Linked DNA regions of Drosophila melanogaster. The protein of the gene in region 3 interacts with the protein of the main gene of each other region in a pairwise test. Each region holds a gene or a part of one and is shown on either strand. Other genes may lie near its edges. The genes, in order: CG6118, Ptp4E and CG6912.

Region 1 (3,756 bases), 300 kb from region 3:
TTCGGGAAATGTTCATTTCACTTAAAATTCTTTGGCTTATATTTTTGGTTTGTTAGTCATACGGCAGCTGGCTCTGGTTCTTTGCGAGACTTTATGAAATTCGGAAATCTCTTTTCCTGCTCGGATTTTACAACTTTCTTGGCTTATTCTTTACCTTGCCTTGTCTTTGTGGCTGGGCGCTTAATGCGTTTGGCATCGTTTTCGGCATCTTCGCTCGTTCTGCCTCGCCCTCTGCACAGCTTCTTCGCCGTCTTCTTAATAATTTTATGTTAATTATTAAAAAGTGAAAATACGATTTTGGCTTTTGGGGTCTCGACTCTTAGCTGCATTAATCATTTAGCCGCGATACATCTTAGCTCGTTTCTTTTTCCCCCAGCAGTTCTGGCCCGGTCGAGATTTATATAACGAACCAGCCGTCCAATTAAATCTATTAGCTCTCCTATTGACAAAGATCATCGTTTGGCAATAAAATGCGTTTTCGTTTTCAGTAGAAACAAAATATTCCGTTGCTCATTAGCATGTAAATACAAATTCGGGCCTATTAGTTGGTCGAAAGTCGTGGTCATGCGACACAAGATTGAGCACTGGATGACTAAATGGATCTTCGACAGGTTCTGCATCCCTACTTGAAGTGGATGTGGATACGGTATACTCGATGTATCCGCAATGGAAAGATGATTTACATCTCTATATGTAACAGTCGGTGGCTTTATCACACAAACTTTCACCCAGCTGAGTAAAATATGTTAAAAGAATCGATCAATCGGCAACGGTGTGAACTCACAAGCTTAGAATACTGCCTATACAACTTTACAACATTGAAATTCTCGCCGACAATTTATCAAGCTTGGGAAAATCTCGAAAGAAATAAAAAGCTGACAAATGCCGAGTAAATAGAGGCCTACCACTGTGCCCCACGGCGGCAGCGGGGCAATTCAATCCAAGTACAATGGCCAGGGGAAGTGTCTAATGCAGACATCTTCTACATTAGAAAGTTTTCTACAACTACAACCAGCAGGGCAGCATCGCGCATCCGAGTGTAAGACAAAAGAAACAACTGTAAGTGCAGAGAGCCCCGGCTCCCCGAAAAGCACCCAAGAGCCCCAGCAAGACCACTCCAAATGGAGCCTGCTGAAGACAGAGCTTTGCAACGCTAACTGCGCATGGGTAGACCAGTAGAAAGAGCAGTACGAGCACCAGACCCAGTCCCAGTACCAGTACCAGTACCAGTACCAGTACCAGTACTAGTACCGCCAGCAACAATGAGAAATGCAGCGGTGAAAGATTTCCAAATGCAACTCACTGCAACTGCAACCCACTGGTGAGGCGATTCAAGTTGATTTCTGCCCGGCTCGCTGGGTGCTGCTCTCCACATTATCTATCCGTTGGCAATTAAAGTATAATTAAGAATCTAATGGAGTTTCACTCTCCTTGTGCGTAATTAGCCGTGCGGTTTATGCAAAGAAAAGTAAAAACGGCAGCAACAATGGAAAAGCGAACGGAATCAGATTGCCAGCGAAACGGGGGCCAAAAATGTGCGACAAGAAGAAGAAAAAACGCTTAAATTATATAATTATAAAAAAAATCTTGACAAAAATAGACGAAAGTTGTAATTTTCAGCGCTTGGCAAACACGAGCAGGGGGTGGGGTGGAGGAAGTGGGAAAAGCTGGTCTAAGAAGGCAGCGATGAAAGTTAAAGTTATAAAAGCAGCTGGGGAACGCACTGGAATCGAAACGATGGTAAGCTGTAAATAATTAACCATTTCGGCTTTGGTGTGCGAGAGTGAGCTCCCAAGGCGAAACTCTTACTCAGAGCACATGGCAAACACAAACGGCGGACCAAAACAAAAGACTTCAACGAAGAACCAAACTTGCTATGGCCCGTGTGTGTGTGAGTGCGCTCGAACGTGCATGTATGCGCGAGAGAAAGAAATGGTAAAAGCACTCTTGAGCCGAAGAACCAACGGCAGAGCTTCCACCTTGCAGGTGTGTGAGTGCGGCAAGCGAAAGCGTCGCTGCCGCTGAGAAACGAAATGGAATGGCATGAAATTTCTTAGCGATCTTTGAGGATAAGCGCTGGTTTCACTGCGCGCTGCCGCACAGACGTCTACCGCGTTTCGAGGCAGACGTTACGTTCCACCGTTCGGCGCGCAAGAATCGCCAGACCAGCTCGTAGAAAGTCGCGCCTGCGCAGAAACTTCATAGCAAGAAAATCATATAAGAAAAATACTCGAAAAGAAAACAAGATCATATGAAAAGTGTGGAATAGCAACAGCATCATGCTGCCCAAGTGTAATCAAAATGTTATCCTCTTTTGACTCTGTGGTTTTGCGATCTTGAATTTCACTCCCCTCTCTCCGGATTTCGAAGACCACGCATCCGTATTTATTAACTGCCTTGTGTTCTCTGCATATCAAAACGCAAAAGTGAAAGTGATTTTTCGGTGTTTCGGTGCGTGAGTGCCACTTGAATGACAAATATTGATATGCTACAATGAAAACCGGCCACCGCCAGCCAACCAAATAAGCTTCGAGAAGAGAAACTATCAAAGAAAAAAACATATATTTTGTGTGCGCCCATTGGATTACGGAAAGTTCCCGAACAGCTCAAGGATACCAATCGGGATTGGAGTACACCTAGCACACAGCACTATTATCATCAAACAATTGGATTTGGATATGGCTGCCAACGAGATTATGACACCCACAGTCAATGCGAATTGTCAATACTCGACCAGATATTGTTGTAAGTTGCCTTGAACTTGGCTAGCTACTAACAAGCAGTAGTTACTAACTACTAGATACTTTGGGTTTAGTAGGGAATAACTATAAATCCAAATATTCTAAGCTAGTTTTACCAATAAGAAAAGTAACAAACGCAAAAGGCGTTTCGGATCCGTTCGAGTCTGGATGTGCCCCATTGGAGTGCAGAATGCCAAGCGAAAGCAACAAACAAACAAACGTTCGAACCAAACCGTGCACTCGGGCAACCTGCGCAGCCAGAAAGAAATTTTCAAAACAAAAAGCAAAAGCTGCTTTTTTTATAGAAAGTTTCCCCAGCAAGGGGACCCAACTGGCTGGAGTTGCAGCCAGTTTGGAGCTTGAAGCTTGAAGTTGGGAGTTTCGAGCTACATGCTACATGCGATGCTATATGCGATGTGTTGCCGTCGTTGAGCATCGGCAGTGACTAGTTGTTTTGTTGCTTCTGCTTCTGCAGTATCTGTATCTTTGGCTGGCAATGTATCTGTATCTCTGACTCTGACTCTGCTTCTGCCTCGGTCTCGGTCTTTTGGCCTGGCTTTAGCTACAGCTTTAGCTTTGGCTTTGGCAGCTCGCTTCTGCCGCTGCTACGACACGAATATTAATAGGTGAAAGTTGTTGCTTCGTTTCTTCGTTTTTCTTTCGCCGTCGCAGTAGCCGTCGCTGCCACTGCCGACGTCGCTGCCACTTCTACAGCCACAATGAATAATAAAAGAAAGAAAGATCCCTTTTCGGGTACAGAATTTATGTTTCCTTTCAGACATTCAGTAATTTCTCCTCGTTGCCAGTAATGTTGGTTTCTCAGGCGAATCTCTGAAAGAAAACCTTACTGTCTTCTAAAATTTTAAAGATACTTATATATATATATATATATATACATTTTTTTTTACTTAAAGCCTTTACATACATTACAAACATTTTGATACTTGTCACATATTATTTGAACATACGTATATCGTATTAGATTTTCTTTCTCTGTGGGTGAATGTTGTTCGTC
Region 2 (3,756 bases), on a different chromosome or scaffold from region 3:
TAAAAGGCCCCGGAATAAACTAGGTCGCTGCTCGTTGTTGTTATTGCAATCACAAAAAAAAAATGCACGCCGCAAATGGAATTTTAAGGGAGTGTGCTTGTGTGCGTGCAAGCGACGCCTGCCGCTTCCTCTTCTTCGACTTGCAAAACAACAACGAGCGAAATTGAGCGTGAAAACAGAGGAAACGCGAGGATAGATATTGTATAAAAACATGCGTATTTAACAGCGGCTGACCTTGTTTTCATTTGCGCCTAACAAGCTACGGAAAGTGAAAGACTTTGATTGGAATTCTCATAAGAATGTGAAACAGGTTTCGCTCTCATAACGGTATCTGCATACACATACACACACACACACACAGATGAGCCGTAATAGCCAGGCAAAAACAAGAAAAAGCCGGAAAAAGAAAGTAAAAAGGCAGAAAATGTTTAGTTTATATTTCTAGAGCGAGAAAGAGAGAGAGAGAGATATGGGGACGTAGAGAGCGACTGTTAAGTAATACATTTGCAGAGAAAGCGCGCGCAAAAGACACAAGAAAAAAAAACACATTTGCATGTATTGTGTGCTACTTATTGATGGCGTTATTTTCTGGTGTTTTTCGCACAATTGCCGCAGTTTCTGAACGCTGCTTTTGACATTGGAAGAGTTCAAGCGGCTTTTTTTTTACGAATTCGATTTAAACTCATTTTCGATCTGCGAAGGTCAACAGCAAAACAAAATGAAGCCGACTGCACGCACACCAAGGCAATATTTACACAGATACATTCACCACAGTTGTATGTTGCTTGTGTTGCTCCTTAAATATGTTACATATTTAACATATATGATATGTTGTGACAATCAAATAGTACTTGCAATCTTTACCTTGGTTGAGCCGCTCGATTTTACAACTGTTATTTATCACACTTTATTTTCAGTTTAAAATGCACTTTTTCGCTTCCTTTTCACTTTTGATTGCTACTGACATCAACTTGACGTTCTGCTAGTGACTGTATGTTAGCTCCTAACAGCTTCGGCAATTTATCGATTAGTGCTGTTAACGCTACAGCTACCTAACAGAATTAAAGAAATATATTAAATTTAACAAAAATACTGAATACAGCTAGCTGGTCATACTCCTGTTTTACATTTTATTTAATTTACGAATACGTTTAATTTAAATTTTGTTGATATATAATTTAATAAATTTTTTGGTCTCAAAACGTCTTAGCTAACCCCACACAAAACCACTTCGAGATTATTCTGAGGTTCTACGAAAAAAAACTTGTTATATATACAGAGATATATGTATTTTAAAACCAAATAAAAATGAACCTGTATATAATAATACCATAAGATAGCTACTTACTCTACGAGCTGTGAGCCTTGAGTGCCGGTGCTCATATAACTTTCTTAAGCTTGCTTGATATAATTTTCATATTGCATATCTAAAAAAAAATAAAAAAATAATTATAAAATTTTTGTAAAAAGTTCAGTAAAAACAGTTTAATTCACTTATTACCTGGTATTTCCTTCTCTGCAAATATAAACGAATTTTAGATATTTTCAAATTTGTTTGAGTTGGTGTGTTCTGTTTATTATGAAAACATGGATACATTTTTAACAAGTGCTCAAAATATTATTTTATTTACTAAATATATCAATATATAAAATAAATTGTATTTTCTATTAGAAGACTAGTAATAAAAATGACAAAGTTATAATAATACCATTGGAAATAATTACCAAATTGCAATTTTTGAAATTGCAAAGTGTGACTGCACGAATACTTGTTGAATATCAACTGCATGAATTAAATTTCGCTTTCCGAATCAACGAAACATCAAATTTGGTCAAACATGAGCAAAACATGTCATATAATATTAACAATATATTCTTTAAGAAATTTAACAATTTTAAATAAATTATGAGTGACCCTGTGTTGTGTAAAATATGTGGTATTTATTCAGTATTTTTGGGTTTTTTTTTCTGTTTTTCGGCAGCACTGCGCGGCGGTCACGCCTTTGTATTGTATTTATATTCATTCGTTAAGCGACGGTCGTCCAAAAAGGCAGAAAATGTGGAAATTCATTGATGAACAGTGGTGAAAAGTGCGTGCAGTCATTCGCTTCAATTTGTCGTGGCCGATTCCTTTTCGCAACCAATTTTTCTTATTTTTTTTCTTGTCAGTAACAAGTTGTCGGTCAATAAAAGTGTCAGTTTATTTTCTGCATAATAACGGTTACTAAAGCCTAAATTTTTTGTTTGTGACTTCTTTTTTTTTAAACAAATGCGCCGACGCGCCAGAAGTTTATATTCTGTTTTTATGTTTTCCGCTTAAAACGAAACGTGACTAGTTTGTTTTAAATTGGTGTGCAACGAAAACAAGAAGAAGCGGATGAAGAGGGTGGAGAGGAGAGGAAGCAGAAGAAAAAGAGCAACAGTCAAGTGAATTAGTTTTTTTTTCGTCCATGCCGTCGCTGCCAACGTCGACGCCGTTGCGCCGCCGCATTTAGTCATTGCATCAGTGTGTCCGAGTGTGTGTGTGGCAGAGAGAGCGAGTGGGAGAGCAAGGGTGGAGTAAAAGTAAATGCGTGCAATTAGCATTTAATGCAATCACCATTAACCGCCTACTATTGTAATTTATATTACCCTAGTACCTGTAATTTACACATACACCTACACACACACCTGCTCAGCTAGTGGTAGTGCAAATATGAAGTGCAAAAAGCGGCGGCAACAACAATTGTCTGTTAATTGCTGGATATTTCGTAATGCAGCAACAATAACAACGGTAGCAAACTGTAATGCCACAGTGAAGACTCGCTAATCGAAACTTTGTCGGGCATATTAACCAAATTCGTTATATGTTTGCATTGAATTTACATTTCATATATTAACTTCTAAATCTCGTTAGATTTACATGCTCGCGTGTTCAATAGCAGGGAGGGCCCACTGTACTTGTAGTGAAGCGCCGTTACAGCCACAAATGCGTGTGAGTGTGATTATGTATGCATGTGTGTCTGCATCAAATCACACACTTGCAGCGCTCATGCACACGCACTTGTACTTGTGCGTGGCTCACATTTCCATAGCCAGCCGCTTCCCCCTCCACGATCAGTGTTGCTCTTCACCTGCAGCTTTCGCTTCTGCTTCTTCTTCTCCCGCACGCATGTGCCGTTACAAATTCGCTTGGACATAAATCATTTTTCGTGCATTAGCCGGCGATTGTTAATGGAAATCGTATTAGAAAACAACAATTACAATGGGCCCACATCTGCCGCTCTCGCTCTCGATCGCGCTCATCATTGCTCTCCCGTTTCCCGTTACAGAGAGTGCAATACAAGTGCAATATTAATTAAGTAATAGAGGAAACGTAATATGCGTGTGCAATACAAACAAATGACCATGTAACGGCCAACAGAAATGTATATGCAATACAAACGTACATACATGTGTAAAACAATAAGCGCAAAACACCGCCCATCCCCGCTTGAAAAGTAAAACCAGCAATCTGCGAAACCTTCGACCATCATTGGGTTTTACTGTACTTGAAAATGGACTGTGCCACGCGAAAACAACAACAATTACGGGCACATCATCAGCAGCAACAAATACAAATACAAACACATGGACGAAAGCGGCAGCAATTACAAAAACAACGCCACAACCACCACCACTACTACCAAAATTCACAACAACAACAAAAACATTTCGTGTGGCTTGTTGTTGGCATTTTGACAATTTTTTTGGCTCAGGTGAGTGAGAAAAAAAAAT
Region 3 (3,756 bases):
TTGAATATTCGGAAATATCACATCAACACTATGGCCCCTATGACGACAAAACTATTACTGAAAAAGTTTAAGGTTGAACGGAATTGTGAGAGGCTTTAACTATCAAAAAGGCTCTCAAGTATTATAAAAAAGATTATTATAATTTGTTTTTCTTTATTAATTGCTTTATTTTTTTTATTGTTTTTTGAGTGGTATTGATTGCATAATGATAAGCACGTTTTCAATAATTTGCGCTTGGCGAGTGTTAATCCATCCATCCATCTTCCGCACGGCATCCGGTTTGACCTGCATATTGGGAGCAGTATTGGGCCTGGTCGTAATATACGCAGTTGTGGGTGCTGCATTTGTAGGAGTAGCAGTACGAGGAGCAGGTCGAAAGGTTACCCATAGCACAGCCACTGCAGTCGTAGAAGTCTAAAGTGGACAAAAAACGATGAAATTGGACTTTACTTTGCATGTAACAACTATCTTTACTGAACTCACTCTGGGGCTGCTGGCAAATCCCATTATTGGACTGACAGGCCTGACCCGCCCAGTTGGGAGGGATGGTCACCATCTGGCTGTTGGACTGAGTCCAGCTGGCTACTGCGGCCGGAGCGAGCATCACCTTCCTGGCACTGCAGACGGAACCGCACTGATGATGACTCCTGCTGAAGCACTTGTATCCGTCTTGACCCGCCTGGGTGGCGCAGACCCGCGGAGCGAATACGTTGCAGCAGGGGCTTGAGGGTGACTGTGGTGGCGCCACCACTTCCACCAGCTCCTCTTCCTCTTCGGAGGCTTGTTCTGGGATTGTGATGGAGGCGTTTACCATGACGTGGTTAACATTGTTGGTGATCAGGTGGGGCAGAGCTCCTGGGAGCTGGTGGACAGTGTTCTCTATGTGGATGTTACCGAGCTCCAATGGCTGAGGCTTCGAGCACCGGATACCCGTCCAAACATATCCAGCAGGACAGCGGGTCTGAATGCAGCGTCCTTCGATGTACAAGCTATTTTCCCCGCAGAAAAGTAGACGGCAAACACCTTTCACCAAAATTGTTCCCTCCGGACACCGGATAATGGGATCCGGTGGCGGCGTAGTGACTGGGACTGGGATCGGTCGAGGTGGTGGTGTTGGATTTGCTGGAGGTGCAGGCGCTGGTTGCTCAGTAACACTTGGGGGAGTGGTAGTTGGTGGAGAAGTTGGGGAAGGAGCATTGATACTAGGACCGTTCGTGGGATACGAAGATGGGCCGTTCGAATTACAGGAACTCGGACCATTGGCATTGGGACAAGCTGGAGTTGTTGGTGTATTGGGACAAAGTGGCTTATCTGGAACCACTGTAGGATATTGAGGAGTGTTGGGGCAACCGGGAGTAGCAGGAACAACATTTACATTGGGATTAAATGTATTATTCGGAACCACTGTAGGATATTGAGGAGTGTTGGGACAACCGGGAGTACTAGGAACAACATTTACATTGGGATTAAATGTATTATTCGGAACCACTGTAGGATATTGAGGAGTGTTGGGGCAACCGGGAGTAGCAGGAACAACATTTACATTGGGATTAAATGTATTATTCGGAACCACTGTAGGATATTGAGGAGTGTTGGGGCAACCGGGAGTACCAGGAACAACATTTACATTGGGATTAAATGGATTATTCGGAACCACTGTAGGATATTGAGGAGTGTTAGGGCAACCGGGGGTACCAGGAACAACAGTAGTCACAGGATTGGAAGGATTGCATTGAATCCCCGTTTGACCTCCGCACAGGTTACTATACATATTCAAAATAATGGGGCTGCAAACGATATAAGCATTAACCTGACCTAAGATGTGAATGATGTCATCAGTGGACTGACGGATAAACGCTTCCAAGTCGAACTTACCATTTTGGCAGGGATTTGGTGTATAATTGGTGATAACCGTCGCGGGAAATAGTCCAAGACAGATTAACAGCAGCAGCCGTTGCACACGGAAACCCACTTCACTGTCAGACATTTCGATTCGAACTGATCCCGGCTCACCGGTGACGGATTAGGAACGGCTGAAGCTGCAGCCCAAGCGACCTTCACCGTTATCTGGAACACGAAGGTTATCGCAGCGCCAGCAATTATGCTTTCCAAAGGCATCCCAGCGAGCTCAGCGTCGCTTCGATTAGTCTCTCGCCTAGTGCGGACCGCCGTACATCGCGAATCTGTGTCTCAGCTCCCGGATCAGCAAGCAAGTTAAACAGTATGCTTGTGAAGTCATTCAGATCGGCCCTGGTTGCCTGCCTGATCACCCTTGTGCCTTGCGGAAGTGCTCAAGCATACATCGCGGTAACCGAATGTGGTTTACTCTGAGGATTGGTGTCTATTCTTATACAAATATATTCCCCTAGAAGCCGACATCTCCGCAGGGATATCAGGATGTCAACGGCGTGTGGCAAAGCTCTTTCGTTTGTCAAACAGGTAAGAAATCTCTGAAAAAATGGTTAATCTCGCTGTACCAAAAATGGTGCCCAATTTAATCAGCAGCTGTGTATGACTATTTATAGAACTACTCAATGCTTTAACTGATAATTTTAAAAAAGTATATGAAAAACCAATGTATTATTATTATATTATTTTTGGTTTTATCGTTCATTAGGATATCAATTGAAAGCGGATGGAAAATGTTATCCACAGACTAACAAAACGTGCGGGCCTGGTAACTTAGTAAAAAACTTATAAATCTTTAATTCGTGAGATTTTTTGTTGTTTTTTTTTTTCGTTGTCATTTTGTTTAGGATACTTTCTTAGCATTGATGAACTATGCTATCGTACGAATCCTGAGCCTTGCCCGCTTGAATCGACGACCACTACTACTACGACAACAACAACAACAACAACAGAGCCCACTACCACAACAACAACGGCAGAGCCCACTACCACAACAACAACAACAGAGCCCACTACCACAACAACAACAACAGAGCCCACTACCACAACAACAACAACAGAGCCCACTACCACAACAACAACAACAACAACTGCGCCTCCCGTCATTACAGAACTGACTCGCTGTCCACCGGGATCGATTTACTTCGACTCGCAGTGCAGGAAAATCGTCTGTTCGGAGGGTGAATATAAGGCTGGCCGTTGCATTTCATTGGCATGCCCAGCGGGAACCGTGTGGTATCAAAAACGCTGCCAACAACCGGGATTTATCACCACTATCCTTGAGATTGACAATGTGATCCACAATGAGCACAAGTACTCGGTGACCAGCGAAAATATAAATCGTGTGGAGTACATTACATCCGCACCCTATGATCCCGATAACGACAAGAGCTATGACTATACTATAGATAACATCGTAGCCACAACAACAACCAGACGTCCCTGGATATACCCCAGTTTGAGGCCATCTACGGAACAGTCGGCGGCTAATGAAGTCTTTCCGGGGCGTCATCCTCCACCGCAATGCTGTTTTGTAAAGAGCCCTCGCATCTGCATCAACTATGCGCCCAACTGGGTGTGCTCCAACAAGGAGAATAAGTTCTGCGATTCCAGAGTCTGCACGGCCCCGGTGGTATATCTCAAGCCACCGAAGGTCGTATATGACGAAAACGCGAAACGAGTGGTCATGCCGCCAAATCCTCCACTTCTGGCGTGCAGCACGCCGGATTGCAAGGAGAGCGGTGAGTCTTCAAATCGTTTCTTTTATTATTTACATTGAGTATCTGCTTAACGAACTTATCGAAGAGATAAGGATAAAAAATGTATTTCAGGATCATTAATACAATC

What was found.
Region 1: the proteins of CG6912 (region 3) and CG6118 interact in a two-hybrid assay, tested with the Drosophila melanogaster proteins (one large-scale study listed by BioGRID).
Region 2: the proteins of CG6912 (region 3) and Ptp4E interact in a two-hybrid assay, tested with the Drosophila melanogaster proteins (one large-scale study listed by BioGRID).

Annotation. Positions count from the first base shown.
Region 1 is NT_033777.3:15,433,107-15,436,862, reverse strand, and holds the start of CG6118 (uncharacterized protein), read left to right. Parts: upstream 1-2,124; 5' UTR 2,125-2,678; coding exon 2,679-2,745; intron 2,746-3,756.
Region 2 is NC_004354.4:4,937,111-4,940,866, forward strand, and holds the start of Ptp4E (protein tyrosine phosphatase 4E), read left to right. Parts: upstream 1-2,017; 5' UTR 2,018-2,090; exon of another isoform or gene 2,091-2,194; intron 2,195-2,326; exon of another isoform or gene 2,327-2,422; intron 2,423-2,470; exon of another isoform or gene 2,471-2,565; intron 2,566-3,311; 5' UTR 3,312-3,536; coding exon 3,537-3,737; intron 3,738-3,756.
Region 3 is NT_033777.3:15,135,393-15,139,148, reverse strand, and holds the start of CG6912 (uncharacterized protein), read left to right. Parts: upstream 1-2,144; 5' UTR 2,145-2,223; coding exon 2,224-2,307; intron 2,308-2,369; coding exon 2,370-2,439; intron 2,440-2,617; coding exon 2,618-2,677; intron 2,678-2,756; coding exon 2,757-3,650; intron 3,651-3,756. Other genes in the region: CG3984 (uncharacterized protein), read right to left, coding at 245-414, 484-1,815, 1,876-1,987.